7 linked regions of the Xenopus tropicalis genome follow. The protein of the gene in region 1 interacts with the protein of each later gene in a pairwise test. Links are inferred from orthologs where the notes say so. Each region holds a gene or a part of one and is shown in the gene's direction. Other genes may lie near its edges.

Region 1 (4,369 bases):
CAGTTCCAACTCATCCTTTGTTTGACACCTCAATTAACTTAATTGTTGACTTCCAACATGGGCACGGGCATCAGGTACACAATTGTGGCACATAAACAAGACTTTAAGATAACGCAAAGCTTGTCTTAATGACAGTGTTCACATAATGGTGCCTGCCTGCTTTCTGTGATTGTTCTTGACTAGCACAATGAATAATGCCTTAAGGCTTCTAAAAACATTTAAAGGAGAAATAAAGGTTAAATCAGTGGTGTGGTGCCTAACATTTGGCACCCCCAGTGATTATAATCACTTACCTGATACCCCAGGCTGGCGCATGCGTCTGAGTTCAGCCTTTATTCTACTGTGCATGTGGCCAGACCAGAATGCAAAGAAGTTTAGATATAATCAAATTAAAGAACTGTTTTGTACAGAGAAAATTTAAAAGAGAAAAATTAAATAACTTAAAATTATTATTTACTTAAAATAGATTCAATGAAATATGGCCTATCTGTCATTTAGAGTTTTCTGGATACCAGGTTTGCAGATACAGTGCCATAAAGTTTGGGACAAAGACATATTTTTCTTTGATTTACCCCTCTGCTCCTTAATTTTAAATTTAGAAATGATTAAAGTGCATATTCCAGACATTATATTAAAGTTATTTGCATACATTTCATTTTTACCATGTAGAAATTACAACACTTTTTATATGTATATAGTCCTCATTTTCACAAAAGCAGGATGGCCAGATTTCAGTTAGCAAAAAGGTGCTTAAAAGAGCCTGCAGAATTCTGAAAAAAGGTGTTATGGACAGACGAAACCAAGATAAGAGTAATGGCAAAAGGTAAATGTGGAAACGAAAAGAAACTGTCCAAGATCCAAAGCATATCAACTTATCTGTTAAACATGGTGTTGGGGGTGTTTTGGCTTTGGCATGTATGGCTGCCACAGGTACTGGCACACTTAGCTTCATTGATGATGTAACTGCTGATGACGGTTGCACAATGAATTCAGAGGTGTATAGAAACATCTTATCTGCTCAGGTTACAGTAAATGCTTCCAAACTCATTTGACGGTGCTTTATCCTGCAACAAAATTATGATCCCAGACATAATACTTAGGCAGTTTCTCAGAACTAAGAAATGGAAAATGTTTGAATGGCCAAGCCATTCACCTGATTTAAATCCAGTTGAGCATGCCTTCCATATGCTGAAGAGGAAACTTAAAGGGACAAGCCTCTGGAACAAGCAAGAGTTGATGGTGGCTGCAGTAAAGGCTTGGCAGAGCATCACCAGAGAAGATACTCCACACCTGGTGGTGTCTATGAATCACAGACTTCAGTCATTGAATGCAAGGGATATGCAACAAAGTAGTAAATAAGACTACTTTAATATACCTACCTTTACTTTGCTCCAAACGTTATGGTGCCCTGAAATGAGGGGGACTATGTATAAAAAGTGTTGTAATTTCTGCCATGGTGAAACTGAAATGTATGCAAATAACTTTAATGTCTGGAATGTGCACTTTAATCATGTCTGAATTGTTTGGTTTAAAATTAAGGAGCAGAGGGGTAAATCAAAGAAAAATGTGTCTTTGTTCCAAACATTATGGAGGGCACTGTATGTGATTCCATACCTGTATACTATAATTTTCTACATCAAACTACTCATTTGCAAATCTTTTAAAAGTAAGTGGTGACCTATATATGAAACTTCTTCACTCCTGTGGAATAAAATGGACCAGATCATTTCCAAAAGAAACTGATGCCCATTGCCCAAAAAACAGTGCCTATTGTTTGCCCTTTAGAGCTGCTGATAAGCTTTTAAAAGGCCAGAGCCACAGATTGTAATCTCTGTCGGGGTGTCACTTAGTAAGTTTTTAGTATTAAACCCAATGATCTGGTAAACCTCTTTAAGACTTTAAATTAAAATCTTTTTTTAAAGTAACAGTATTTGGTATAAAATACATTTGTAAATCTTTCTCCATAGGATTCATTACTCTTTCCAGAGATCGCAGCTCCTACCAGTCCATCGAGCATATGGATCCTCCAGCTGACCAAGATAACAAATTGCCATCACGCACATATTGAAAATATAATATGACGTGATCAGATTAAATAACTGGGACTAAAAGGAAGAATGCCTAAAGCAGAAAAGCAAGATCTGATACCTGGGCTGTACATGCCCTTGTGTTCTCGCCCAGAACTAGTAAAAATATGTGCTGAGGACCATTCAGATTTGAGACTTATAAGAGGATACAACAAGTTATTCATTATCAACAAATGTTCAATAGCGCTTGTGTTAAAAATGAGGTCTATATATTTTCTTTGCTAAAAGGAAGGAGATAGTTAAACCAGTTCCAGCATTGGGATTAATTTGTCCCCATCTTTCACTTTAACTTCCAGAATATACTGTGACAATCAATACAAATTTAGGTTTTGTTTTATAAGATTATTTTTGGTTCAGTAAGGAACATAAACTTTAAAAAAATAGTTTGCATACTTGCAAATCTTTAAATTGTATAAACTGTGAACAGGATAAATACATGTACTAACACTGCTAAAATATTAGTATAGAAATATTTCTGTAATATATTTGCCTTTTAGGGTATTTAAAGAAATGTTAAGAATAAAATATTTTAAAAAAGGCCATATGCTATGCCATCTTACTATACTAGCATCATCTGATGTGTTTGCATTTTGCACATTGTGGGAGTAGCGAATGATTATAGGTCAGCTTCTACTGTACAGTAGAACTAAATGCAACGATACACTGTTCACATATCTGGATTCCTAGAACATTCTGATGAAAGCCATCAAGGTAGATATTAGGTTATTTAATTAAAGGTAAAAAGTGTTCCTGAAGAACCTACGCTATGAATGAATGCTATTGCTCCTCCCTTGATGAGCTGCTCCAAAATTTTGGCTGTCCTTCTTTCCTTACTGTGTCTCTGCAAATACGCCCAGCAGTGTCCCTGAAAAAAAAAAAAAATTATATATATTAAAAGTCCTGGAAGTATGGTGCACACAGAGTACTCCAGGTACTGCCTGGGTGCATGGTTAACATAACATAAATAGTAAGCACAAACAAACCGCACTCACAGGACTTGTGTGAAGCAAAAAAATGGTGTTTAATTCAATGTTTCCTATGAATACATTTGCAGTCACACAAAACATGTTAGGTTTTTATCTTTAATAAAGCTTTTTTGAAATTTTATCCGACGAATTTTTATCCGACGAGTGCTGGCTATTGAAGTTTAATTCAATGTTTCGGCTTCAGGACACATGATTTAGGACATATATGTCAAACACAAGGCCCGGGGGCCAAATCCAGCCCACCTGGCTGTTTTATGTGGCCCTTGGTGAGTGTGTCTGACCATCCAGCCTGATCAAGTTCCATTTTCCTCACATAGTAACTAAGACTAAGGGGTATCAGTAATCAGATTTCAACAGTAGCAAAGCATCTATTGGCTGCTATGAGCAACATCACCGGTAATGTCTTACTCCGCTTTTTACACATTGTGATAAATATACCCCTTAGTATCTTACTAAGTATATTAATAAAAAATTTGGCCCTCGACTTAGCCTGTGTTTTAAATGTCGGCCCCCTTATGTAATTGAGTTTGACACCCCTGATTTAGGAAAATGAGTTTTCTAAAAGAAAAAGGGTGAGAACAAGAAGCATAGAGTAGGGTTATGCTATAGAATCCTGAGCTTTTTAAATATTTATTAAGGTTAGTTTATCTTACATGTTTGTAGAATTCTGCAAATGTTAAGCAATTTCTTTACATTGGTTATCCTCTGTTTAGTGATCTTCAGCACTTAAACACCTTCAGTGTAATACAGGTATAGTATTTATAAGCTGAAATGGGGCCTGAACTTTTACAGATAAGGTCTTTGAGTAATTTGTATCACACAGGTATGGGATCCCATTATCCAGAAAGCCAAAAATTACAGGAAACCTATCTTACATAAAGTCCATTATAAGCAAATAGTTTTAAAAATTCTTTTTCTCTGTAATAATGAAACAGTACCTTGTACTTAATCTTAAGGAAAATGCATGAATCCTTATTGGTGGAAAACAATCAGTATGGGTTTATTTAATGTTTTAATGATTTTTAGCAGACTAAAAGTATAGAGATCTAAATTACAGAAAAATCCCAGGTCCCAAGTAGGGATGCAGCAAATCCAGGATTCGGTTTGGGATTTTGCCAAGATTCAGTCTTTTTCAGCAGATTCGGTAGAAACCATGCCTCTAGCCAAACCAAATCCAAATCCGTAAAATCACATGACTTTTTGTCACCGTATGCGGCTTTCTTTCACCCTTCCCTATCCTAATTTGCATATGCAGATTCAGATTTGGTTCAATATTTGACTGAATCTTTTTTTGGG
Region 2 (5,021 bases), on another chromosome or scaffold:
GCTGCCAAAGTACCCCTGTCACAAGATCACAAGAATAAGAAGACATTTTCAATGCATTCAAAATTGGACCTTCTTGGGTACCCTGTGGAGAAAGCTTTGCAACAAAGTATTCACTCTACTATGAAGTTGATGAAAATCCTGCCATAGGCAACTCTTCATCTTTTTTTTAAAAAAAAAAGAGGCTATCTTTTTCTTTTCAGCAGCTCAGTGATTCTTTGTGCATAAAATAACTATGGATGCTTCCTTTAGAATATATTTAATTACAATGCATTTAATCAGATATAAACTCTGACTGAAAAACACATTTAAAAATTTAGCACAGGGATCCTCAACCTACGGCTCGCGGGCCAGATCCAGCCCCAAGTTAATTTACCCGGCCCCTGCTGCCTTTCTCACCCCTGGCTACTACCTGTCTGCAGAAGCAGTGGGGAGCAGGGAGCAGGAGGGCACAGCAGGGAGTCAGATGGCGCAGTGGGGGAGCAGGAAGCTGGAGGGCACAGCGGGGAGCCAGAGGGCACAGCGGGGGAGCAGGGAGCTGGAGGGCACAGCAGGGAGTCAGATGGCGCAGTGGGGGAGCAGGAAGCTGGAGGGCACAGCGGGGAGCCAGAGAGCACAGCGGGGGAGCAGGGAGCTGGAGGGCACAGCAGGGAGTCGGATGGCGCAGTGGGGAGTGGGGGAGCAGGGAGCCGGAGGGCGCAGTGGGGGGAGCAGGGAGCTGGAGGACGCAGCGGGAAGTGGGTGAACAGGGAGCTGGAGGATGCAGCAGGGAACTGGGAGCCGGAGGATGCAGTGGGGAGCAGGAAGCCAGAGGACACAGCGGGGAGCAGAGGAGCAGGGAGCTGGAGGACGCAGCGGGAAGTGGGTGAACAGGGAGCTGGAGGATGCAGCGGGGAACTGGGAGCCGGAGGACGCAGTGGGGAGCAGGAAGCCAGAGGACACAGCGGGGAGCAGAGGAGCAGGGAGCTGGAGGATGCAGCAGGGAGTGGGCCATAGTTTGAGGACGCAGGAGGCGTAGTTTGAGGACTACAGTCCGGCCCCCCCCAACAGTCTGAGGGACCATGAACTGGCCCCATGTTAAAAAAATTTGAGGACCCCTGATTTAGCACATGGACAAATTAACCATATGGGAAAGAGAGAAACTGCTTGAGCAAGGCAAAGCTAATAACTGCAGAGCATGGCCTCTTGCTAATATAGAGATCATCTATAAGACTTTCCATTTGGTGTCACTTTAAACCATGTTGTAATAATTATGCAAGCCACTAGAGGGTGCCTGTTACTCTCTTTTACAGCCTTACAGACTGCTTCTTTTCCTTTTACTGTCTGTGTTTTCACGTCTGTTTCCTTCTTCCCCACCCCACAGATATATTATCCCCTAAATGAGGCCCCAAACAATTTAGGATTTTTTTTTTTTTTTTTAAAGATCTGTTATACCCTGCCTGGCGTGACTTCCTCTTTGCTGAATCCGGGTACAGCAGACAAAAAAAGACGATTCACTAAAACATAGGCCTTGCAGGATCCTCTGTCTGGAGCAAGGCCTGGGAATTGTGGAAAAGGAAGGAAGCAAGCATGGCAGGGACTCTGACACAGGAGGAGGAGCAGGTAAAGCAGTCCCTGTGTGCGGGTGATTAGTCCTGCATATAGTGAGATGAAGAGCGACTTCTAGTCTTGTTTATTGTCACAATTATTCTGTATATGTAGTGCCATGAAATCAGGCATAAGACATAAGTGTTTATGTGAGTGTATATATGTATATATATATATATATAAATATATACACGTGTGTGTGTGTGTATACATACACGCATCTGGTCTTTTTTGTAGTATAAATATGAGTGTGTATGTGTGCACATATAAATTATAGAGCAACATTTCAGATAAACTGTTAATTTTTTCCCTCCTTAAAAATGTTTGCATTCCCCCTGTTTGCTTTTTTCATTATCTCCCTTTTAAGATCCCCTTTTCCTTCACTACCCTGTTCCCATAGGCCGATTTCTGTTTTACTTGTGTCTATTAATACCCATATGTCTCTGATTCCTCTTAGGCTACTAACAGGTTCCTGCAGGAGATGAATTTGTGGACAAGCTGCCACTCCGTGTCGCCTCTCTCATGGGACATCGCTGTTAAATTTCTGATGGCGAGAAAGTTTGATGTTGTGCGAGCAGTTGAACTCTTCCACTCATACAGAGTGAGATATGTGTGCAGATTAGCATTTCACAGTAACTGCCATCTTTCTATGTCCTTCATTCAAGCTTTTCCCTGTCTTCCAGTGGAGCAGCTCTCAGGCCCAGATTTGTGGCAAGGCCACAAAGGCCGGGGCCAGCTCTTTGCATGTAATGGGCCAGTTTGTAACACTGCCTGTTTAAGGGCCAGGTTATATTAAAATGATGATGTCATACTATTGAGGTCTTGGGGGCTCTTTAGAGGGCTATTAAAATCCGCAGGGCTTGTGGTAACCTTATGTTTTGCTTATTGTTTTTATCAGAATATATGTATTATATTCATAGTAATCAGGGCAAAATCTGCAAGCACAATTAAAACAAATTAGTGGTCCACTGAGAAACCTTTGTACAATAGGTATTTTCTTATCTTAGGGTCTAACAATGGCTTCATCTAGGGAAAGAGATGTAATATTTGCTTGTTTTGGAATACAACTCCCAACATCCTGCTGATAAATAAAAGGAGTAAGAGGGTACTAGAAGCTGTAGCTCAAGAGCACTTAGGACCCCCGTTTATAAGACAGTAACCCAAACACATCTAGATCTGAACTCCACAAGAGACTTAATTGCAGATTAAATCCTAGAAATGGGATGTAGCTGCACTTGCCCAACAATAATGTAGCTAAACAGACTGGTAAAGTGCTTGAATATTTTGGCATTTGACACAACTGAACTGACACACCTGCCTGCATTTTTATCTGACAAGATTAAGTTATTTCTCATTGATATACATTGATTGTTGGCTGTAGCTGCATAAAAAAAAGAAAGCATCTTATTGTATCTGATGAGATAACAGTACAGCAAACTGGATGAGATTCTGCAGCGTCCCACAAAATCTTGTGTTTGTGCACCCCTTAGCATTCTGCATTGCAATCCTGCCCATTGTACCTGTCTGTCATTATATAACTTCAAAATATCTGTTTAGAAAGCATATAGAAACGTAGAAGCATATAATTTAATTCTAGAAAAGAACCAGCTGATCCAGCTAGGCCAGCCAGCTATTTTTTCCCACAAATGTTTGAGTGGGCGGTACCCACAGCACCTACTATATATCAACATTACTATATATTTATCAACATTATATAATTATTATCTGTTATTATAAGTTCCTGGTCTCCTGTCTGTATCACCTTTATTTTCTGTCACTGTATAACATAAATGTTATGTTTGTGTTCCAGGAAACCCGACACAGAGAAGGGATAGTGCGGCTGAATCCTTTACAAGAGCCATTACTTTCTGAGTTGCTGAGTGGCAAGTTTACTGTGCTGGTGAGAGGTTAGGTGTCAGAAGGTTGTTCTATTTAATGCTTATAAAGTAATAACCAGTTGTTTGCATGTATATATTTATTTATATAGTGCTGCTTATGTACACAGCACTGTACAGCAGAACAATAAATTCATGGAACAAACAGAAATTAACTACAGAATACAGTTACATTAATGATTAGGAGCCAAGTATCAAAGAGACAGGAGGAAGAAGTTCCATAGAGCTTACAGTCTAAGGGATGACAAAAATACATGGACAAAGAACCTTTCACTGTAAAAAGCTAAGGATAATAGAACACACCAAGGAGTTTCTCAACTACCTAAAGGCAACTTATTCTATGCTCAGATGTTACAACTGGGGGTACTTTATTTCTTATAATACAGATGATTAACTGAGTCATGTGACACAACTTCGCTAAACACCACTTTTAATTGATGACATAACTAAGCACCATTTATTATTATATAATTTACAAGATGTTCAAGTTTCTTGTGTATTTTAATAACAAATAATCCTAGGCACAGGATGAGTGGAAGTGATATATGTAAGTGTCATATATATTTTACAGATGAACTCACATAAATGGCAGTCTTATAATTGTAGCAGGAAGCAGTGCTTCATTCCATCAAATTGAATCTATTGACAGCATACTGAACTAATCATTGGGAGGGCAGGGGTCATGGATTAAAGTCCTGGAATAATGAGCTTTAGGGATAGGTCAAAGTGCATGTGACTGGTCATCCACTGTTTTGTTCCAGAGTGTCAGAGCCCCAACTGGAGCCTCCATTGCAATCTTCACCGCTAAACTACACCATCCAGCCCGCAGAAACAGCAGGCAAGCACAACACACTGTACTTCAAGCTCTCTTTTATCTACTGGACAGAGCTGTGGAGAGGTGAGAGCCTAGAAACCTGAATGTGGTGTTTTGGGGTAGGTGTGTGTGCAGTGTCAGTACTGGAGCAGGAGGGAACTGGTAGATGAAGGGGAAAGTACATATTTCACAGACATTTAACCTGCAGCATATTGCTTCTTTGCACTCTTTACACTGATACTGGGATCCCAGGGCATATGTTTAATTTGCTACAACCTCAACCCCAATAGGGGGGCTTGTTTAAAGGAAGACTAGGAATAAAATATGGTACCAAAATACTATACATAAAGCTGTTGCTTTTGTTTTGTATCTCAAACCTGTGCCCTTTTTTAGCCTACTTATTTGATTGATGTGCATTGTGTACTGCATATATGGCATAGCAGAAGAATCAAAGAGAACCTCTGAAAGATAGACTCTACAGCACTGGCAGGCTGGTGCTTATATGTCAGCACAATAAATATTACAATACCTGCCACATAATTGGTAAAAGGCAAACATTTGCCAAGCACATGACCTAACTGCAGTGATTCAGGGAGCACACAGAGGATAGAGTATTTTGAGAGAAAAAATACTTAGACAATGCTTGTTAAGAGGGCAGTTGAGGACGTCTGCTTTTTGCCACTGCAGTACATCCTATATTGCTTACCATTAATATGGCAGTCAGCACT
Region 3 (4,960 bases), on another chromosome or scaffold:
GCCCCGCAGCTACAAGTTATTTATATACACCATATTAGTGTTTTAAAGGCACACAGGGTAAGGGCAGGGGTACATGGGGAGATTAGTCGCGTCGCAACTAATGCCATCCCACCAGCTAGAATGTAAATCACTGATGGGATGGCACATGCGGGACCGCTGTAGCCTTGAGAGGAAACTTCTGAAATGCCCCATTCTAGCCGGTGGGATGGCATTGCGGGGAGATTAGTCACTGGCGCCAAATGGAGACAATCTCGCAGTGTGTTACGGCCTTAAAAGTGGCCATCCATGTACAAAAAAGGTGTTCTTTGAAAGTCTGTTTGTGTGTTTTTATCAATCTTGACAGACACTGTCATGTGATGGATGCTTCCCTTAGCTGACATTTTGGGGCTTGGCACCAAAAACAAACCTAAGGAAAACAGACCACCACACTAAAATCAACTGGCACTCCAAAGGAAAGGTCACAGTGAATCAAAGTTCATTCAGTATATAACAATATCTATGTGTATATGGCCAGCTTTACAGTGCATTATATTTAGGGGCAGATTTATCAAAATTTGAGTTTCTGGGGGGGGAAAAAAGTGGATGTGAAAAAAATAACCATAACTAAACTTGTGCAACTTATCTGGCGAGAATCACATTGTTCCTTCCATTTTAAAGCTAAAAAACCCAAAAGTTTAAATAACTGGGAAAAATAAAGTTGTTAGAAACAATTATCTTTGACTTTTATTGAAAGTTTTTCTTCCAACTTTTTAAGAATAATCTCTAATGTATCTTCATTCACGTTTTCTCGCTGCGTTTTTTCTAGAATCGTAAAAATTAAAAAAAAAAACACAAATTGGAATTTTAATAAATTGGCCCCATAATCCATACATACAAACGATTTGATTCGTCTGCATTTGTGATTGTTTAGAAGAAAAATCAGAATTCTCCGGTATAAAATGCTCTAGCCTACTGCCCCTTTGTTTTTTACGGAAGAGCAGTAGGGCCACCAAAAAAAAAAAAAAATTCCGGTGAATTATGACTTTTTAAAGTCATAATTATGAGATTAAAAGTCATAATTTCGACTTTTTAAAGTCATAATTATGAGATTAAAAGTCATAATTTCGACTTTTTAAAGTCATAATTATAATTATTTTTTTTGGTGGCCCTACTGCTCTTCCGTAGTTTTTATACTCTCGGTAGACTCTTTTGATGAATACTAATATTTATAATGCTTGCCTGTGAGAAACTGATCACAAACCTGGAAAGCTTATGTTTAGCTCCAGGTGACTGCCTGCCTTTCTCCAGCAGTGGAACAGCTCTGACCATCTCCAGACTGGCAGCACCTATGGCGCCCCTCCTCTACCTGAAGCGCACATATTAGCGATAATAACACTTGACAGTACAGACATTGATCCTAAACCCACACTCTTTAGAAACCATAACCATCAGGCCCCTCACCTCAATTCCAAGATAACGAAACCGGGAAAAGGTGCAGTTTTTCCTTTTGCCGCCATGTACAGTTAAAGGCGACAGCCAATCACAGTAGGAAGCGCAATCACGTGGACTGGGAACTGGTTCCATTCCAGGAAGCGAAAGCGCCAATAGGAGACGCAGGAGAGCCGCGGCACGGTCAATGCTGAGAGTTAGGTTGCACGCTGGGCAATGACGGACTTGGGAGGTGGAAGTAGCTTGTCCTTGATGCATTACCATTTCCGGCTCTTACTGCTCATTCCCCTGCTTTAGCAATGGAGCCTACCAGGGCTGTATTAAAGTGCTATGCCAGTCAGTGGATGCGAATGGTGGTTCAGCATTGGTGGAGCCGGAAGCCGCCAGTGAGCCGGGGCTTCTGGGCTTTCTCTTGGCCGCCCCGATTACCATGTATAAAAAGTGCAACAAGTGCAATGTCCCGTAGTACCCTGCGTTCAAGCTGCACTTACTCTTTAAGAAGTTTCTGTGTGACTTCCCAGAGCCGCCTGTGCTGGAGATGTCAGGCTGAAATGAGCAGGGCTGAGTTGTTCTGCCCCACATGTACTTCTCTGCAGCCACCTGATGAGAGCAAGGACTTTTTCCAGGTTCTGGATTGGTGAGCCCATATTCCTCATGCATGTCATATAAAGTAGGCACACATACTGGGAAACAATAGATTCCCTTTCCTAAAAGGTTGTTCATGTTCCAATCCTGAAAACTTGTATAGTATATAGCTTTATCAAATATATGCTTTTACTGTGCAACTTGCTTGGCCTTGCCAGTTTTGATGCAGAATTTCACTGTGAACCCATGCCTGGCGATTAAATTCACTGACTGTACTTATGACAGAAAATTTTTCGTCTTTAAAGGGGGGGCCTATCACCTTATGATATAATTCCAAAGTCATATTAGTTGAGCAAAATTAACTTTAGTTACACTGTATAAATTATTTAAATCTTGTTTACTTCAATTTTGGAATTCACAATCACAGCCATCAGGCACGCTCCCATTTTTTTTGGGCACTGTAATTAAAGGTGGCCATACGTGGCTTGATTCTAGCTGATGATATCGGTCCCTTAGACCGACTTAGCAGCTTATCGGCCCGTGTATGGGCACTACCGGCAGGCATGCTCAACCGACATCTGGACTGAAATTGTCCAGATATCGATCGGGCAGGTTTAAAAATTTAGTTCAGGGACCGCATCGGCTTGTTGATGCGGTCCTCGAACTGACTGCGCCTATACCCGTCATTCTAATTTTGAATAAGATCGAATTAGCCCAATATCGCCCACCCATAGGTGGGGATATCGGGAGAAGATCCTCTTGCTTGGTGACCTTGCCAAGCGAGCGGATCTTATCGTGTATGGCCACCTTAAGGCAACATTTGAATCACCCCTAAACCTTGTGTATGTGCCATAATAGGAGACCAAGGCCCATTCCCATGCACTTGCTACACAATTATAGACCTTGAGGAGGGAGGGGAAGTGTGAGGAGTGCAGTGACACTTAGGAAGTGCAGATTGGAAAGTGAAAGTAGTTTGAATGCCCTGCCTCTATGCCTGAGGAATGGAGGCGTGGCCAGCAAATTATGATTGACAGCTGAGACTTTTAAATACCCTTGGAACAGAAATGGATGGTTTAATAAAAAAAGAATTTGGCTTTCATGTTAAATTTGCAAAGGGCTTTTATTATACACCTTTTTTATGTCTGGGTGACAGGTCCCTTTAAATGATGAAATTTGTCCAATAATGGGATGGACAGATTTTGACTGCACATGTACCGACCATTCATTCTTTGATATGAGTGTTCATTTCAATAAATCACCATAATGTCCATAGTATGTTACAAAATTGTTTGCAGGACCAAATACAGCTTGAAAACAGTGTATACAAAAGCAAATACATCACATCCTCTTCAGGTTTGGACTTCAATTAGACAATATCACTTGAAATGGTTGTTCTTGTCGATGGACAAATCATAATTTTAAACAATTCACAATAAGCTTGGTCGTATAAACACATCTTTTAAAAATCTACATGTGTATGGCCACATTTACAGTCAAAGCAGTTAGTGGGTGGGATTTCTCGGTTTCGTTTGAAAGACCCAGTAACTCTAAAGCACGAAAAAAATCTTAAATTAGCATCAGGGATGTTTATTAAGTGGGCATTTTTCAGGGCACCATTGAACCTTTTATGTACTATAACTTGCATAAAGAATCTCTGAGAAGTGGAATAAAATTAAGTTTTGGACAACTATTTGTATGTGTGTGGGGACCCAGTGGATTCAACCAATATCTATGTGCTTTGTGTATCAGCTGATTCATCTGTTAGACAAGTTTGAATACTAAAGGTGGCCATACATGTTAAGATCCGGGTCTTCTCCCGATTTCCCCGCCTACGGCTGGGGGATATTGGGCAAATTTAGGCTAATTCGGTCATTTAACCCTGGGCCCAAACTACTGAATTATAACGACGGGTATAGGCAAAGTCGGTTCGGGGACTGCATCAACGAGTCAATGTGATCCCCAATCGGACTAAATCTTTTAACCTGCCCGATTGATATCTGGCCAAATTCAGGGCAGAAATTGGTCAGGCATGCCCGTCGTTGCTGCCCCTACACGGGCCGATAAGCTGCCGAATCGGTCTAAGGGACCGATATCGGCAGCTACAATCAGCCAGTGTATGGCCACCTTTAGTCTGTTGATGCGAGGAAGCCACAGCTCCCAAACTACTGCTACTTTCTAGGCACAGACTCTGTGTCATGAGTGGAAACCCTTTCTTCACTGGGAGGTACCAGTATGTAAGATTCCAGCACTGCTGTAGAAACTCCCTGGACTGTTGCTTTATTTTTCATCAAGGGACACCAGATATAGATGTACATGTAGATGACCTTTCATCTGATAATCCTGCTCTTGTGACAGTCGTTGATTGCCATTGATTATGTTTAAAGGAGCTGTCCACCTTAACATTAACTTTTAGTATGACATAAACATTGATATTTTGAGACAATTTGCAACTGGTTTTAAGTTACTGGTTGCTAGTGGCTTGTTTACCTTAACAACCAGGCAGTGGATTAAATGAGAAACAGAAATGGGAAGGAGAGGGCTTGAATAGAAAGTTAAGGAAAAAAAAAATAACAATAATAATAAAACTGTGAGCTAGCAGAGGATTCGTTTTTCAGCTGGCAGGGTCTGTGACCCCCATTTAAATGTTACAAAGGTGTAGAAGAGGAAAGCAAGTGCAACAAAAACTATACAAAATATATAATGAAGACAAATTGCAAAGTTGCTAGAAATAGGACACTCTAAAACATACTAAAAGTTAATGTAAAGGTGGACCACCCCTTTAACTCAATCCATGTCCGTTGTCTGAGCCCAGAGACTAAATTGAAGAAATATATGCTTGTCATTAAATTTGATAAGTTGCATTGCTACCTCCCAGGGTATAATTTCTTGAAAGAAAAAAGGTGTAAGTTGGAGTGGACATAATTACAAACCCACCTTACCAGTGTTT
Region 4 (4,509 bases), on another chromosome or scaffold:
CCCCAAACTTTTCACAGTTGGTCACTAGGGGGCTGCAGTGTTAGTTGGGCGGAGCCACCAACAGCCAATAAGATTTCACCTATTAAATTGTATTGGTTTGATGCCAGGGTTCCCAAACTTTGCACAACGAGTCAGGGGGTGACTACGCACTCAAGGTTAGAAAAAGTAGGCAGGGCCTCCATAAGCCAATCACATTTCTTTCGTTGTTTTCAGTGTTGAACATTTTAACTGCTGCCATTCTCACATGTTTAATGTCAGGGTCCCCAATCAGATGTCACTCGTTGACTTTCAGTGGGGAAATTTAAATTGCTGCTATTCAGACACTATTAAAACCAGGGGCCCCAAACTTTGCACAGTGGTTTTTACTATATAATTGTGGTCCAAGGTTAGAAAAAGTGGGCGGAGCTAACAACAGATCAGATTTCATTCAGTGACTTCACGTTGTTCAACCCAACACGAAGTTTGTTCTCAAACTTCCCTTTCTAGTCTATAGTTGTAATCTTTCCAGGCCTCTAGAAATGTTCATTATAAATTATATTTATATTTCATGTATGTGTGTATAGTGAGTATAAGTAGTTAAATTTAACCTGCAGTCTGAGTGAACCCAAATATAAGTAATTTAACCTTGCTGCTGACCATTAAGGTAAGCAATTTGGAAATTAAAGTGAATTATTAAGAGTAAGATTTATCAAATTGTTAAACAGTTTTTACAAATATTAACAATGCATCCTTTTTGCTCATAAGAGTCCATTATACTTTTGAGTTTAACAGTTTATTTTGCATTTTAGGTACATAACAGCTCACACTGACACTGAGCTAGAATCAGATGAGGAACGAGGGCTGAAACATCTGAATGCAGAAAATGCTAAGGTTACAGAAGAGAAAGCAGAGCTACTTTCTGTTCTTTACCAGGCAGATACTGGGCACTGTGGTTCCGAACCAGATAAACAAGACACATTTCGAATGATGCTTGATAATAAAGAAAAGGTTGTTTTTTGTTTTTTTTTCATAACAGTTACTTTTTAATAAATGTCTAAAGTTTTGCCCATAATGAAATGATACCTATATGATTCGCTTCGGTATTCGCCCAAAGCTTTCACAAAGGATTTGGGTTTTGGCCGAATCCCAAAATAGTGGATTCAGTGAATCCCTAACATGAACCTTTCCATGATTCTCCTGTGGGAGCCCTGCATCCTAAATGTTCCTTTAACACTACACTTCCTTATTATGACTATAACAAAAACCTTTTCAAAAATCTTTATTTTTCTGTTGCTTTGCAAAAGTTGAGTGAACATTATTAACAATTGAAAAATAAAATGTGAACTAAAGGTACAGATAGGATAAAGTTGTGACTATTATATAACTTACATTTTTTACATGGGACTCATTTTGTAACACTGGAAAATTCATCTCAATGCAGATACCCATAATAACCAATCATCAATTAGCTTTAATCAGTCTGCTATGGGTAGAATAATGAAAAAAATTTGGTTTCTATTGGTAACTGTACTGAGGTAGATTTCACCCAGCATAAATAAATGAACCAGATTAATGCAGCTGTGTAAATAAAATGTAATGAATTCTTTTTCTTTTTAGTATGGAAACAAAGTGGAATTTCTGTGGAGACTGGCACGGGCATATGGAGATATGTTTGATATGACATCCGATGTTGAAGAAAAAAAAAACTATGCAGCTAATGGTAAGAGTTGTATTAGAAACAATCAAGACCAGAGTATGAACAAGCTACACATAAAGCACAAATTAAAGCACTGAATCTTACAAACAGTAAAACTTTGCCCAACAATATATGGATTTATTTTACACGTGTACTCCATTACAGAATATAATTGAGCCCAGTATACAGACAGTATATGATATTTTTATTGGATTTGGACTAATGAAGGATTAACAAATAATATAGGTAAAAGATAGCACCAAGCTAATGCTTCTGCAATACATGCAATGATTTTTTTTTTTTTTTTTTAAAGAAAAATTTATTAGGCAAATTGGCAAAAATACAATCTGTTTATCATTGCTTCATTATACATTATAAGATACAGTATAGCACTGAGTACATAAGTAGCACTATATAAATAAAAACATACATACATCTGCTGTACATTCCTTCTCAATGGTTTCTTGGGAAGAGTGGGCGTGTCGCATGCTGCACAAAAAAAAATGTATAGCTCATGCACTTTTTTACCACTCCCTATTTAAACCACGCCCACTAAAGGTTACAGCCTCTCTTATATTACAACATTAAGTTTGCTGTGTGCATATTTCCCCAGTATAGGTAAATTTCTCTCAATTTCCCACCTGGCCCTTATATGGTAACATCCTCATCCTCATATTGTACCTGGGCTGAAAATGTTAGAAATGATATATCATATCTTCCCTAATTCCTACAAAATGCAGCAAGTGGAGACTTCTTACCCCAAAGTCATTGGGGGAAGGGGGTGTCTGTTTACCCGGATAGGGCACCAGGGTTTTAAAGCAGGCCTGTTCCTGGAAACAGGACTAATGGTAGGGCTGGATTTCAATGGTATGTGCACCTAGGCTAGCAATCACATACCCAGCCTGCCACCCCCTCCCTAGGTGTATACGTGCGTGAGAGAAAGTACTGATAGGGGCTGTGCCCACCCCATAAGTCATTCTACAGAAGAAAACAGGAGCTGCACTGGGACAGGAGATTGAAATCTTGAACAATCCCCCTGTTGCAGTTCCCTATTATTGCAGAAAGCAGGCAGCACTTTGTGGCCTTCCCACAAACCCAGACCTGGCTAAGGTGAACCTTCTTCTATTTATACTTGGATAATTGCAATAAAATTAGGCAAATGCTATGGTGCTGCTCACTATATCCAAGAATATGTATATAGAAATCCATGAAGTAATGTGCTGTGGAGTCCATGGAGTGTGTTCATGGCTGTTTCCTGAAGGTGAGAACCTTGCCAGTGAGCTGACAGTTAAAAAATTTGTCTCGAAAAGTACGGCCCCTATTTGACCCGCTCCAATGCCAAAGTGGTATGGAGTGGTTGTGTGTGGGGGGGGGGGGGGTGGCAGCAGCCCCAGAAATGCCCCTGAGTGTATTCTGTATTTACATGGTATGCATGCATGCATCTGTTTTCTGTCAGTTTTTAGTCTGTATTTCTTTCTCAACAATTACATTATTATTTTTTTATGTTGTAGGTAAAAGTATTGCTGGTAAAGCCATTCAGTTAGAAGACTGTAGTGCAGAGAGCCATAGGTGGTAAGTGTACCAGTGAAATACATCAGTGTATTCATTGTTTTTGTTCAGAATACACTGCAATAATACAGTTGGCTCTATGAACACCAATGGGTAAATTTTGTCAAAAATCAAGTGTGTGGTTTTTCTACCTTAAATAGCTGGTGCTCAAGGGGAAAAAAAAACATTTGTGCAGAAGTTGGCTTGAGAGGAAACTTTCACTGAAATCGCCATACCACCGGCGATTTACATTTTCGCCAGTGGGATGGCATTTCGGGTAGATTATTCGCCCGTAAACAGGGTGATTTGTCGCGGGCGACTAATCTCCCCGTGTGCCAGAGTCCTAAAATTACGTGGGGTGATTTTTTTCAGCCTAAAGTGCAACCTGAAGCAAGGTTCTTACTTTGACTCATAGCAGAAACAGGCCTGTATGGCGGTGGGCGCTTGGGTTGAGTTTTACAGGAATATAAAGAAATTGCAATAATCGATCTTGTTTATTCCCTCTTACTGTGGAATGTCAGGATATACATGAGTGGTAGGTTGGAAGTCAGTAATGCAAAAATAAATCTCCTGAGTTTCTATACATGTCTTTTAAACATGCTGGTACAAAAGCCTCCAGTAAACTGTATGTTTGTTTTAATCTGTTTCTTTATGACATATTTATGCATTGCTGCATTGTTAAACAAAGTGTGTGGGAAAACATATAATTATTAGCAAATAAATGCTAAGCATGATCAAAGGGACCTTTTAAGGTTTAGGTAAATAAGCTTTTTATATATAAGCTTTTTTATCATTCTTTTTCTTCTTAATATAGAAAAATATTCTACATATTATTAGTCAGGTTTTTAATGTAAAGGTAGGAAATACATACTTGTTGTAACCATGCAAAAAGTGCATAATCACAGAGCAATTTTTGGTGACCCAGTGCTGCGGAGATGGACTTGAGATGGTAAATGAGACACTTGAGACACATAAGACATTGCACTATACAGAATAAAAGTTTCCCGTTTTGTATTTTTATCCACCTTTCATTTCCAGGGTGCTTGCAGTATTGTTTCATTGAATTGTCATACCTAGTCTGTCAATACAATACAAGATTGAATTATACAGAGCAAAAGTTTCACTTTCTGTATTTTTATTAAGTTTACTTTTCCATGGTATTTATAGTGTTAGTTCATTGAAATGTCAGCTCTTTGGAGCGGGCCCGCTTTACTGCTTATATTGGTCATTGGTTGTTTTGTATGTTTAATGTATACCATGTACCCATTTGTTATACAACATTGCGG
Region 5 (3,508 bases), on another chromosome or scaffold:
TTGCCCGCAACAAGGGATATTTGTCTCGGGCGACTAATCACCCTGTCTGCCACGGCCCTAAGAATGTGCACTTTCTAAAGGCTCAGTTACTGGGTATTGTAAATAGGCTTGAAAAGGTAGGGTAAAAGAATGGGATTGTGTTCATGTTTCCATGAGGTTATCATTGAGGTGGAATTTTTTTTTTTTGTCCTGCCCCAGTTTATTTTGCCCAGTGGCAATGCAGAAGATCCTAAACTGCTGTACCTTTATTTTAAACTGCTGTACGAATTGATTTATCTGCTTGTTTGGAACAGTCTGCATGATTGGTGGGGCTCCTAAATACTTTCTCCTTGCTACCCTTCCTTCCCACAGGCTGGTTTTAAAAAAGCAATGGAATTGGCCGGATCAGAGTTTGTGTCACGCTTGGATTTCTATCATCGCTCTTGGCTACCAGCTCGGGCTTTAGTGGAGGAGGCGATCAGGAAAAGAATTCAGGTATGTGACTCCCATTTTGGTTTCATTTCATTCGTCTCATGGATAACACATGTCACATCTGAATGAGAAATTGGCATTTTGGGATGAAATTGTTTATTTTTGGCACAGGTGGATGAGAGTGGTGAGGTGATTGTCCTGGCACAGGGTGGCTGCCCATGGAAGGAACACCTCTTCCAACTAGAGAAAGAGCTTGGTCTGGAAAAGCAAGTGAAATATGTACTGTATCCTGACCAGAGCGCAAAGTGGAGGGTGCAATGTGTCCCTACAGGCCCAAACACTTTCCTGAACCGGTAACAGTATTCAGCACACTTCTTGTTCACATGTTAATAGGGATCTTAAAAATAATTATAAAATATACTGTCCTGCCTGTTTTATAACTAAAATGCAACATCACGTTACGTTGAGACAGTGTGGTAGAAAGTATTTGGCTATTTTTTAAAACTCACGGGAGCACTTACAGATCCAGCAGTGTGTGTTCAAACGCACAGCCGGCACCCAGACGGCAAAATAATCTGTATCCAAAGAAACTATTTGATATCCCCTCTACCTATGGCCGATAGATGTTCCAAAATACGTTCACACGCTTTCCTGACTGTTTTACCTACATATTGAGCACCACATTTACATGTAATCAAATATATCACCTTTTGTGAGGTACAATTAAAATATTGTTTAATAACATATATTTTCCCAGTATATGTACTAGGTAGAGGGGATATCAAATCGGCTATAGCTAAACATTCCCTTGATAAACATGGAGGGAACATGGATTTTCATTTTCAGATTATAGATTCAGGTGGTTTTAATATAAAGAGAGGTGATTTTGAGAATAGATTGTTACGTAGAGAAGCATTTTGGATTTATCAGTTGGGTACTATAGAGTCATTGGGAGGTATGAATAGAGAGTGGGAATTAACCTGTTTCTATTGACTGATGGTTATTTGTATATGGGTATATATAGATATGTGCACACATATATAGGGGTAGTGTATATATGTACATTTACATATTTGTTGTATCTCTTTAACTGCCTGTGGCTGATGGATGTTAATAAGCTTTAAATAATAAGCTCCAGTGTTTTTTACTGGGTAGCATTGTTTTTAATAATGATATATGCACTATAAGGGTTAACAAGATGTGTGGGAGGAGTTTTGTTTACCTATAAAGGGTATTTTCTGAATGGATGTACCATGCAGCTTTTGAAAAAGTGGTGAGACACCACGAAACGCGTCAAGCGTATGGTCTTTTTCTGTATAAGCACAACATGTTTTTAAGGAGATGGAATAAAGAAATGATTTTTTAAACGGCAGTGTGGATGTTGCTCCGTACTTAGTTTCTTTGGATACAGAAAGTATTTGGCTAAACACATAAAATAAGCATAGCAGCAAAATGGAAACTTATTTTAACATACTATCATGGTTGTACTAATGCCCACCGCACATCTGGAGGGAAATAATGCAGCTCTAACTGTAACAGGGAGAAGTGTGGGAGTAAAAGACAGAACTTTGTCCATTCACTGGCTGATGAGACCTAACATGTATGTGTGCCCTTGGTTTGTTTGTGTGCACCCTGAATCCTATGATCCCACAAAACAGCCTTTAGTACTTAAAATGGCAATTTTCTATTTAGGATTGTTCAACTGCACATGCTACTAGAAAAGTGGATTTAAATGATTTATTTAGTTTGAAGCAGTGTTTTACATATGAGCTGTTATATGCATTATATTTTATAGAGGTATAGTTTCCCTTTAATTACTGATCTTCTTAACCCCACAGTCTGTCTCTCCCCGAGGATTGGCGCGGACTTCGCGCAGATGATCTCTCTTCTGTTAGCGGGATACCAGGCTGCATCTTTGTTCATGCCAGTGGATTTATTGGTGGAAATGAGACCCAAGTAGGAGCACTAGAAATGGCACGAAAAGCACTGAGATCCTAGGGCGCTTCCTCTAAAAATAGGACAAAACACAGCAACAACATCTCCTTGTATTTATATTGTGACATCAGTAAATATTTTTGTATACAAGTTTTTGTCAATCAGTATCTAATAAGTTGTATTTATTGGTGTTTTTTTTTTTTTTTGCTTTTGCTACTGAAACTTACAGGTTACATCAGAATTATGCAGCGATATAGACATGCGGAAATATTCTACAATAGGTTATTATAAAAATTCTATACACAGTGAAAGTTTCAACAAATAACACCAATAGTGTCATTCAAACCACATTGTACTTCATAATCACATAATCACCCATTGCCTAACCTACAGGTAGAGAATTGATCCGTATTTGCCACAATTACTTTGAGCACTGGGACTTCATTAAAGGAGAACTAAAGCTTAAGAAAGAAGTAGTTATGCTGAACATTTATGTTTTGGGCTTCTCTGCCAGTTCAAGGCAACTACCGCCCTTTAGCAGGGAAGATCTGTGCCCCCAAGATGCCCCCCCCATCTTTTCCGCTGATTCCCTACACATACGCTGTGCTGCTGTTACTTACCCGAGCTTAGGAACCCACTCAATTTACAGTATATATAGAATATAAATGTCACAATATATGGCTTATCAGAAAATTATGTCAGCCCAGAAACCAGTGTACTCTGCATAAGCTTATATTACAGGCCAGCATCATTTTCTGCTTGACAATTTGCAATGACCCCTAAGCTCAGCTTCTCAGGAGCTGCTCCGCACACTGAGCATGTGCAGTGTCACTGACTCTCCTAACAAAATTCAAGATGGGGAGCTCCTGAGCACTGTTTAAAAAGTCTGGATCATTATGTTGTAACCTTTAGAACCTGTAGACTGGTAAAGTAGACTCTGTATATAAAATACAGAAATTCTAGCCATATTCATTTTTTTCCTTGTACCCAAAATGTTTCCATGAGTGTGTCTCATACCCTGTAAACTTTAGCCATTGATTATGTGGTATATTGAACCTTTCTCTGAGGGTTCTCTGGTCCTAGATATAATTTATAGTTCTAACACCCGTCTTAATCCAGCTCTCTGGCAAGTGCATTTTAGACACAGTGAAATAGTGGGTTA
Region 6 (5,229 bases), on another chromosome or scaffold:
GGGCGTGGGCCTGTGCTATACCATGGACACTGTATATAATATACTATATCCCTGTAACAAAGCTAAAGTGGGCGTGGGCCCCTTGCTATACCATGGACACTGTATATAATATACTATATCCCTGTAACAAAGCTAAAGTGGGCGTGGGCCCCATACTATACCATGGACACTGTATATAATATACTATATCCCTGTAACAAAGCTAAAGTGGGCGTGGGCCCATACTATACCATGGAAACTGTATATAATATACTATATCCCTGTAACAAAGCTAAAGTGGGCGTGGGCCCCATACTATACCATGGACACTGTATATAATATACTATATCCCCGTAACAAAGCTAAAGTGGGCGTGGGCCCCATACTATACCATGGACACTGTATATAATATACAATATCCCTGTAACAAAGCTAAAGTGGGAGTGGGCCCATACTATACCATGGACACTGTATATAATATACTATATCCCTGTAACAAAGCTAAAGTGGGCGTGGGCCCCATACTATACCATGGACACTGTATATAATATACTATATCCCTGTAACAAAGCTAAAGTGGGAGTGGGCCCCATACTATACCATGGACACTGTATATAATATACAATATCCCTGTAACAAAGCTAAAGTGGGAGTGGGCCCCATACTATACCATGGACACTGTATATAATATACTATATCCCTGTAACAAAGCTAAAGTGGGCGTGGGCCCCATACTATACCATGGACACTGTATATAATATACTATATCCCTGTAACAAAGCTACAGTGGGCGTGGGCCCCATACTAAACCATGGACACTGTATATAATATACTATATCCCTGTAACAAAGCTACAGTGGGCGTGGGCCCCATACTAAACCATGGACACTGTATATAATATACTATATCCCTGTAACAAAGCTACAGTGGGCGTGGGCCCCATACTATACCATGGACACTGTATATAATATACTATATCCCTGTAACAAAGCTACAGTGGGCGTGGGCCCCATACTATACCATGGACACTGTATATAATATACTATATCCCTGTAACAAAGCTACAGTGGGCGTGGGCCCCATACTATACCATGGACACTGTATATAATATACTTTATCCCTGTAACAAAGCTAAAGTGGGCGTGGGCCCCATACTAAACCATGGACACTGTATATAATATACTTTATCCCTGTAACAAAGCTAAAGTGGGCGTGGGCCCCATACTAAACCATGGACACTGTATATAATATACTATATCCCTGTAACAAAGCTAAAGTGGGCGTGGGCCCCATACTATACCATGGACACTGTATATAATATACTCTATCCCCAGTAATAAAGTTTAGGTGGGCCCCATACTAAACCATGGACACTGTATATAATATACTATATCCCTGTAACAAAGCTAAAGTGGGCGTGGGCCCCTTGCTATACCATGGACACTGTATATAATATACTCTATCCCCAGTAATAAAGTTTAGGTGGGCCCCATACTAAACCATGGACACTGTATATAATATACTATATCCCTGTAACAAAGCTAAAGTGGGCGTGGGCCCCTTGCTATACCATGGACACTGTATATAATATACTCTATCCCTGTAACAAAGCTAAGGTGGGCGTGAGCCCCCTGCTATACCATGGACACTGTATATAATATACTCTATCGCCAGTAACAAAGCTAAGGTGGGCCCCTTGCAATACCAAGGGAGCTGCACATAACACGCTATACCTCAGCAAAGAGTCGGGGCGGGGCCAGCGGACAGGCCAAACTGCACAACATGTTGATGTTTCTAACGCAGCACCTGGGAGACCCGCCCAACGCGCCTTCCTATTGGCTGTACCTCGTGTTATTGAAGGCTGATTGGCCTCACCCACATTCTGTTCCCCTTCTGCATTTGACTAACGCGACTGACTGACAGCTGCAAGGACAAATCACACGCCAGCTTTCAGTTGATTAGCCAATGAGGCGGAGGAAGGCGTGAGTGTGGGCGGGACAGCGTGCGCTGGTAGGATGGGTGCGCGCTGCTGGTAAACAGTCCGGACCGCGTGTGAGACTGAGAAGCAGCGAGAGGAACCGCGGCACCGACTCCCCGGGGCTTCCAGCACGGCTAGCGGCGCCCAGGCAGGTACTGGGGCTCTCCGTAGCGCTGTGCGGGGCGGGCCTGAGGCGCCTCAGCTGTGTGTGGGCAAGTTTGTCCGCTGTCTCATTGTAATGTCCCGTCTGGCACCCCGTATATTCTGGGCTGCTAACGGGGAGATCAAGCCGCCAGCTTAAAGGGGAACTCGTCCCAATATAGGGGCAGGTCACTGGGGACTATGTGAGGAAACAGGGACATGTGAATGGGACTGTAAGGGGTGTGTGAGAACTTGGGGCGCATCATTAGGGGTATAGGGTGTATGTGGGGTAGCAGGGGGCAAGTGTGGGGTAGCAGGGGGCAAGTGTGGGGTAGCAGGGGGCAAGTGTGAGAAGCAAGGCTCCTCTGTTAGTAGGCAGGGGGCAAGGAATTGGGGAGGTAGGGGCAAATAATTGGCGGGGGCAAGTAACTGGGGCATATGTGGGGGGGAATAACAGGAGGAATGTGTGTGGGGGGGCAAGTAATTAGGGGCATTTGTGAGATGAAGGATTGGTAAGTATTTGGGGTTGATGTGAGTAGGCAGGGGGCAAGGAATTGGTGTTTGTGGGGAGGTAGGGGCAAGTAACTGGGGCATATGTGAGGGGGGCAAGTAACTGGGGCATATGTGAGGGGGGCAAGTAACTGGGGCATATGTGGGGGGGGCAAGTAACTGGGGCATATGTGAGGGGGGCAAGTAACTGGGGCATATGTGAGGGGGGCAAGTAACTGGGGCATATGTGAGGGGGGCAAGTAATCGGGGAAATAGGCATGGGGTGAGTAGGCAAGGGGCAAGTTAGGGCATGTGTGAGGGAAAGCAGGGGTTAATTGCAAGCTGTATGTGAGATGGGCCGCGTTTCTCCCAGGGGCAAATAACTGCGTGTGTGTGTGTATATGTGTGTGTGTGTATATGTATGTGTGGGATAGTAGAGCGGGTCAGTAAGCTCTTGGGTCCATGGCAGTGACCAGCCCCCGGATTTAGGCATCAGTTCTGAGTAATTAGGGGGTAAGTAGCTAATGTAGGTAAGCTAAGGGGGGGGGGGGGGTCCAGGGCTGCTACTGGGGAAACAGGGCCCAGTGAGTGGCTATTGATCAAGGGCACATGAACTGGCAGTTTATTGGGGGCTCTCAGTCGGCCATTGCAATACAGAAAGGCCAATGAAGCCTTGTGCCTAACGATCTATTGTCCCCCCCCCGTGTTCCATATGGTATTAGTGCGAGGGACCCTATAACCCAAGCGCATTGCCAGCTGCACCCTCTGATAGTGTCAGGGGTCACAGTGTGTGCGGCTGCATTTGTTGCGCTTGGTCGTTATGTCTGTGCCCAGCGTGCAGCCCAGGCTGAACATATGGAAAGGCGCTTGTGTTCCCTTGGCTGTGAGTAAGTGGGTGTGAGTGTGCAGCACAGCGGCCAGCGGGACCTAATGCTCCTCGTGTGCAAATCTCCTTCAGAGTCGGATATTTCCCTTTCATTATTGCTATATATTCTCAGTAGTCACAAACAGCCGTGCATGCAAACAAATACTCTATTGGTGCTGAGTAAAGCAGCTGAAATGTTTCTCCCATGTGAGAGTCTTTAATCAAATATTAATCAATATTTAACCCCGCGCATTCCTTTTGTTTTGCTTAAACATTAAGCCGTGGGGTTGGTTCCTCAGCCTTTCTAAACTTGCTTTTCTCAGTCTCTCTGCTAGTTTACCCTGCATTTTCAAATACGTTTCAAACCTAATATTGTTAATTTATATTGAAAGTTGCTTGCAATTTAAAGGACATGTTAACCCCACAAATAAGTTTTTGCCTAATAAAAGGAAACATTATTCTAATATGGAGTTATTATTTTTCAGTGTTTTAATAGTTACCTGTAAATGTAATTGCTATCGAGAGCAGCATTTGCTGAACTCCTGGTTGTTACTTTTTATACATTGTTGCAAAGGTCGGTCTCCCCCCAGGGAGTCAGGTCTGTCAGGCTGCTGCCTTGTGTTACACTGTTTCAGGGGTCAGTCTCCCCCAGCGAGTCAGGTCTGTCAGGCTGCTGCCTTGTGTTACATTGTTTCAGGGGTCAGTCTCCCCCAGCGAGTCAGGTCTGTCAGGGTGCTGCCTTGTGTTACATTGTTTCAGGGGTCGGTCTCCCCCAGCGAGTCAGGTCTGTCAGGCTGCTGCCTTGTGTTACACTGTTTCAGGGGTCGGTCTCCCCCAGCGAGTCAGGTCTGTCAGGCTGCTGCCTTGTGTTACATTGTTTCAGGGGTCGGTCTCCTCCAGCGAGTCAGGTCTGTCAGGCTGCTGCCTTGTGTTACACTGTTTCAGGGGTCGGTCTCCCCCAGTGAGTCAGGTCTGTCAGGCTGCTGCCTTGTGTTACTCTGTTTCAGGGGTCAGTCTCCCCCAGTGAGTCAGGTCTGTCAGGCTGCTGCCTTGTGTTACTCTGTTTCAGGGGTCGGTCTCCCCCAGTGAGTCAGGTCTGTCAGGCTGCTGCCTTGTGTTACACTGTTTCAGGGGTCAGTCTCCCCCAGCGAGTCAGGTCTGTCAGGCTGCTCCTTGTGTTACACTGTTTCAGGGGTCAGTCTCCCCCAGCGAGTCAGGTCTGTCAGGCTGCTGCCTTGTGTTACACTGTTTCAAGAGGGAAAAGGACAAACATTACTTCTAATATCAATTATATATACAAATAACTCAAAAACCATTACGAATTTGTGATGAATGTCTATTGCAAAGTTGCTTAGAATTTTGCTTTCTTTTCTTATGTTCTGTGTTGACTTGTCCTTTACTTTCTTTTCAAATAACTAGAGATCCCTGTTAATGTATGTGACTCCTGTGCAGCAGGTTGCTGGCTAGTCGGATTAAAAACAAAGCGTCACTAGTGCGTATTGGCAGAAGGCTGCTTGCAGGTAAAGTGCCGCTGTGCCTGCTGGGAAGGGGTGCGGTTGGTGTTTATAAGGAGAAGCTGTTGAGCAAGGTGCCAGGGTGAGGCGTTCGTAGTTACCTGGTTTTCTAGGTAGCACTGCTGGATATCTGGGGCATATATGTCATTATCTCTATGTAAAGGCCTAGTGGGGGGGGGGGGGGGGGGAAGCCTTGGCTGGTGACAAGATTTATTCACCCGTTAATTAAACAGTACCTGCTATCGTTATTTACTGTGGTCACG
Region 7 (3,624 bases), on another chromosome or scaffold:
GAGCGAATGGGGGAGGAGGTCTGCGCTTGTATTCGCCTCTATGATGGCAAGACTGCGACTCCCGCCGAAATCAAGGAATATTGTAAAGGAAAGGTAGGTACCACCATGGGATACGGAACCACTGAAGGTACAAACAACTTGGCCAATCATGAGTTGTCTGTGCTTGGAAACTGGTAGTTTAATATCTCATTGGCTGGCCCTCTGGCATGTATAGCCATAGTAACCCTGGCTTTGTGGATGTAAACATTTTATTATAAGGGCAGTGCTGGAACTGGGGAGGAATGCGGAGGGACAGAGAAGTGTTATACAGACGAAGAGAGGGGAGTTTAGAGAGGGGTTTAGAGAACGGGAAAGAAGAAGAAAATAGGGAAATGTGGAATGGCGAGAGGATGATATATATTAAATATTGTGGGGGGATATAAAATATGCTGGGGTTGTACTGTGTTTACACACATTATACATAAGGGGGGCTGTTTTGCTGAAGTTCAATTGCCAACCAAGCCATATACTCACAATTTTCATTTTAGATGTCCAGTGGCGTAACTAGATGTTACTGGGCCTTCAGTTTAGCACCCCAAAATATTGATAACTTATATTGAGATATATTGAAACTGCTCACTAATTAGGGCCTCGCTGGGCCCTCTACCATCCTCTGTCACCCTGTGACTGCAGGGTCTGCTCCCTCTGTACTTACACCCCCGTAGGGTTCCTACTTTTGTACTACTTTTGTAAATCCATGCTTACTGGCCAACAAACCATTCAGCAGAAGGATAAGGCAAAATGGCTTTGCTTTAAAGTGGGTAAAACCAGGTAGTGTTGGTGTGTGAGGCTTATTATAACAGTGGGTGTAGTACATCATTGTCGGACTTGTTTTTGGCATGTCCCATATAGCCCCTTCCACAGTTGTAAGCCAGCGTTGCCCCAATTCAAGCACTTTTTTAAAGGGGAAGTTCCCATTTTCTTCTTTGGAGCCAAGGTACCACAGGCGGGAAGCAGAAAGGACAACAAGAAAGGAATGAGTTAGTAACACAAATTAAAAAAGGAACATGGTAAGAAAAAAAGGGAGAACTGAGAATATTGTATTAAAAGTAGAAGGAAAGCAGAGGAGGACAAAGGGAGGTAAAATAGTGTAATGGGAAGAATTAATATGTGTAGGGGGAGAGTAGAAAACATGAAGAGAATGGGATGAATAGCAACAAAGCTTCTGCTTAGACTTCAGGCTTTTAATTGAAGTATGATGTAGCGAGTGCTATTGTGAGACAACTTGCAATTGGTCTTAATTTTTTGCAGTTTATGAATTATTTAGCTTTTGTTCTGCATCTTTCAACATTGGAATTTCAGCTTGTAAGCGGAACGGGAATATGAATAGAGAAGGGCCCACATAGACAGATAAATAACATAAAGTAACAATAAAAATGGAGTATCACAGAGCAATAGTTATTTGGCTGCCAGGGTCAGTGACCCCCATCTGAAAGCTGGAAAGAGGCAGAAGAAGAAGGCAAATAATTAAAAAACTAGGAAAAGTAAAAAATAAAGACCAATTGAAAAGTTACTAAGAATAGGCCATTCTGTAACATGCTAAAAGGTAACCTAAAGGTGAACCGGCCCTTTCTGTTCCAGATAACCTCAGTTTATCCCTGTGTTTCTGATGAGATTTCTCTTTTTTCTTTCTGCCGACAGATTTCCCATTTTAAGATCCCACGTTACATTGTGTTTGTGAATGAGTATCCGCTCACCGTTTCTGGAAAGGTAAAGCTCAATTTGGCGAAACGGGTAGAATGTGCCTCGAGGCGGTAGAAGCTTCAGGTATTGGGAATGGGACGGGGACTTTGCCGGGGACACTGTGTTGGTTTCAGCTTTCGTTCTTTGTCTCTTCCAGATCCAGAAATACAAACTGAGAGAGAGAATGGAAAAAGAGCTAAACCTGTGATGCAGTAATGACTTTCTTAGTGCCTCTCCTTGTTCTTCCTAAGCTTACGCTTCTCCTTGCACCTTCACCTCATCTCACTCTGCGCCTCTGTATTCATCCTCCTTAACCTGCCTATACGTCTCTTGGCTAAAGGTGGCCGTGCAACTTTTGGATGCATCTTTTCAAAACGGAATTTCATTGTTTGAATTATTTTGTAAGCCTTGTATGTCATTTTGTGCATCATTTACCTTTTGTGCATAAGCTAAACACAAAACTGAATGTACCCAAGGGCCCTCATCTCTGCCGTCCCAGATAAAGAGTTACGTCCCTAATTCATTGTGATATACATCCGGGGAAACCCATGTATATTCCATTGTGCTGCCATCCATCAGTTTGTCCCACCCCTCAGGGGAGGTCTGCTCCATCAAGCTCCTCCCTAAATCTGGCACAATACTGTCACTCTGCGCTGTAGAGATCATGCTTCGTTATTGCTTTTATATTTTTTAATAAATGTTTTTATGTGAAATGCTGAAGGTGAGTGTTTATTATTTATTATTATACACATCAAAATGTGCGATTAACTAGGAATGCACCGGATCCAGGGTTCGGCAGGATTCAGATCTGGCCTGTCCCAACCAAATCCAAATCTTAAAAATCACGTGACTTTTGGTCACATGAAAACACAGAATTAAAAAACTTTTTAAGCATGCATTTCTATTTAACCCTTCAGTTGGGATTCAGCTTCAGTTCGGTATTTGGCAGAATCTTTCACAAAGGATTCAGGGTTCGGCCGTACCCCAACATAGTGGATTTGGTGCATCCCTACTATTAACAATTGATCCTTTTTTTAATGTTAAAGGGGTTGTTCACCTTTGAGTTAACTTTTAGTATAATGTAGAAAGTGAGATGAATTTCAGTTGGCCTTCAATTATCTCTTTCTAGCTTTCGAATAGGGGTCACTTGCCCCCGGCAGGCAAAAAAAAACACTATAGCTGAGAGGCTACAATTTTATTGTTACTGTTATTTTTTATCACTTCCTATTTAGTCCCCCTCCTAAATGTATTCCAATCTTTATTTCAAACTACTGCCTGGTTGCTAGACAAAATTAGACCCTAGAAACCAGATAGTTGCTGAACAAAAAGCTAAATAACCAAAACTGTCTTAGAATATTACTGTCTATGTCAGTGATCCCCAACCAGTGGCTCAGGGACAACATGTTGCTCCCCAACCCCTTGGGTGTTGCTCTCAGTGCCCCCAAACCAGAGAGTTATTTTTGAATTCCTGACTTGGGGGCAAGTTTTGGTTGAATAAAAACAAGATTTCCTACCAAATAAAGCCCCTGTAAGCTGATAGGGTGCATAGAGGCCCCTAATAGCCAATCACAGCCCTTATTTGGCTCCTCCATGAACTTTTATGGTGCTTGTGTTGCTCCCCATGTCTTTTTACATTTGACTGTGGCTCACAAGTAAGAAAGGTTGGGGATCCCTGGTTTACGTCATACTTAACAATTTAAAAGTGAACTACCCCTAAGTACAGATAGGGACAAACACCGAAGGCCAAATGACCTGCAGTCACCATTCGTCCCTGTTGCAGGGAATTCTAGGCAATGCTGCAGCGCTGTGCAACTCCCGGGACCTCTCCTATAATCACTGTTGCCTGTGGTAGAAACTTCACTATAAAATGAGTTTACCCACCCATAGTTTATGATCCTCCTA

The links.
Region 2: the proteins of agtrap (region 1) and ptpn9 interact in binary tests that used the Homo sapiens proteins (3 or more experiments, as listed by UniProt). The two-hybrid records come from large-scale screens. The link is inferred for Xenopus tropicalis from reciprocal best matches to the Homo sapiens genes AGTRAP and PTPN9.
Region 3: the proteins of agtrap (region 1) and hscb interact in binary tests that used the Homo sapiens proteins (3 or more experiments, as listed by UniProt). The two-hybrid records come from large-scale screens. The link is inferred for Xenopus tropicalis from reciprocal best matches to the Homo sapiens genes AGTRAP and HSCB.
Region 4: the proteins of agtrap (region 1) and rmdn2 interact in binary tests that used the Homo sapiens proteins (3 or more experiments, as listed by UniProt). The two-hybrid records come from large-scale screens. The link is inferred for Xenopus tropicalis from reciprocal best matches to the Homo sapiens genes AGTRAP and RMDN2.
Region 5: the proteins of agtrap (region 1) and c12orf10 interact in binary tests that used the Homo sapiens proteins (3 or more experiments, as listed by UniProt). The two-hybrid records come from large-scale screens. The link is inferred for Xenopus tropicalis from reciprocal best matches to the Homo sapiens genes AGTRAP and MYG1.
Region 6: the proteins of agtrap (region 1) and coq8a interact in binary tests that used the Homo sapiens proteins (3 or more experiments, as listed by UniProt). The two-hybrid records come from large-scale screens. The link is inferred for Xenopus tropicalis from reciprocal best matches to the Homo sapiens genes AGTRAP and COQ8A.
Region 7: the proteins of agtrap (region 1) and acsf2 interact in binary tests that used the Homo sapiens proteins (3 or more experiments, as listed by UniProt). The two-hybrid records come from large-scale screens. The link is inferred for Xenopus tropicalis from reciprocal best matches to the Homo sapiens genes AGTRAP and ACSF2.

What each region holds. Positions count from the first base shown.
Region 1 is NC_030683.2:65,695,776-65,700,144, forward strand, and holds the end of agtrap (type-1 angiotensin II receptor-associated protein-like), read left to right. Parts: intron 1-1,967; coding exon 1,968-2,068; 3' UTR 2,069-3,199; downstream 3,200-4,369. UniProt on the Homo sapiens protein: Appears to be a negative regulator of type-1 angiotensin II receptor-mediated signaling by regulating receptor internalization as well as mechanism of receptor desensitization such as phosphorylation.
Region 2 is NC_030679.2:93,340,456-93,345,476, forward strand, and holds the start of ptpn9 (tyrosine-protein phosphatase non-receptor type 9), read left to right. Parts: upstream 1-1,524; 5' UTR 1,525-1,566; coding exon 1,567-1,599; intron 1,600-2,041; coding exon 2,042-2,185; intron 2,186-3,394; coding exon 3,395-3,484; intron 3,485-4,240; coding exon 4,241-4,377; intron 4,378-5,021. UniProt on the Homo sapiens protein: Protein-tyrosine phosphatase that could participate in the transfer of hydrophobic ligands or in functions of the Golgi apparatus.
Region 3 is NC_030677.2:150,460,100-150,465,059, forward strand, and holds the start of hscb (iron-sulfur cluster co-chaperone protein HscB, mitochondrial), read left to right. Parts: upstream 1-1,573; 5' UTR 1,574-1,727; coding exon 1,728-2,065; intron 2,066-4,960.
Region 4 is NC_030681.2:42,152,484-42,156,992, reverse strand, and holds part of rmdn2 (regulator of microtubule dynamics protein 2), read left to right. Parts: intron 1-788; coding exon 789-987; intron 988-1,596; coding exon 1,597-1,699; intron 1,700-3,186; coding exon 3,187-3,247; intron 3,248-4,509.
Region 5 is NC_030678.2:147,124,999-147,128,506, reverse strand, and holds the end of c12orf10 (UPF0160 protein MYG1, mitochondrial), read left to right. Parts: intron 1-351; coding exon 352-474; intron 475-582; coding exon 583-764; intron 765-2,249; coding exon 2,250-2,409; 3' UTR 2,410-2,507; downstream 2,508-3,508. UniProt on the Homo sapiens protein: 3'-5' RNA exonuclease which cleaves in situ on specific transcripts in both nucleus and mitochondrion. Involved in regulating spatially segregated organellar RNA processing, acts as a coordinator of nucleo-mitochondrial crosstalk.
Region 6 is NC_030681.2:7,741,605-7,746,833, reverse strand, and holds the start of coq8a (atypical kinase COQ8A, mitochondrial), read left to right. Parts: upstream 1-1,961; 5' UTR 1,962-2,105; exon of another isoform or gene 2,106-2,109; intron 2,110-5,229. UniProt on the Homo sapiens protein: Atypical kinase involved in the biosynthesis of coenzyme Q, also named ubiquinone, an essential lipid-soluble electron transporter for aerobic cellular respiration.
Region 7 is NC_030686.2:43,840,288-43,843,911, reverse strand, and holds the end of acsf2 (medium-chain acyl-CoA ligase ACSF2, mitochondrial), read left to right. Parts: coding exon 1-93; intron 94-1,680; coding exon 1,681-1,749; intron 1,750-1,879; coding exon 1,880-1,930; 3' UTR 1,931-2,439; downstream 2,440-3,624. UniProt on the Homo sapiens protein: Acyl-CoA synthases catalyze the initial reaction in fatty acid metabolism, by forming a thioester with CoA. Has some preference toward medium-chain substrates. Plays a role in adipocyte differentiation.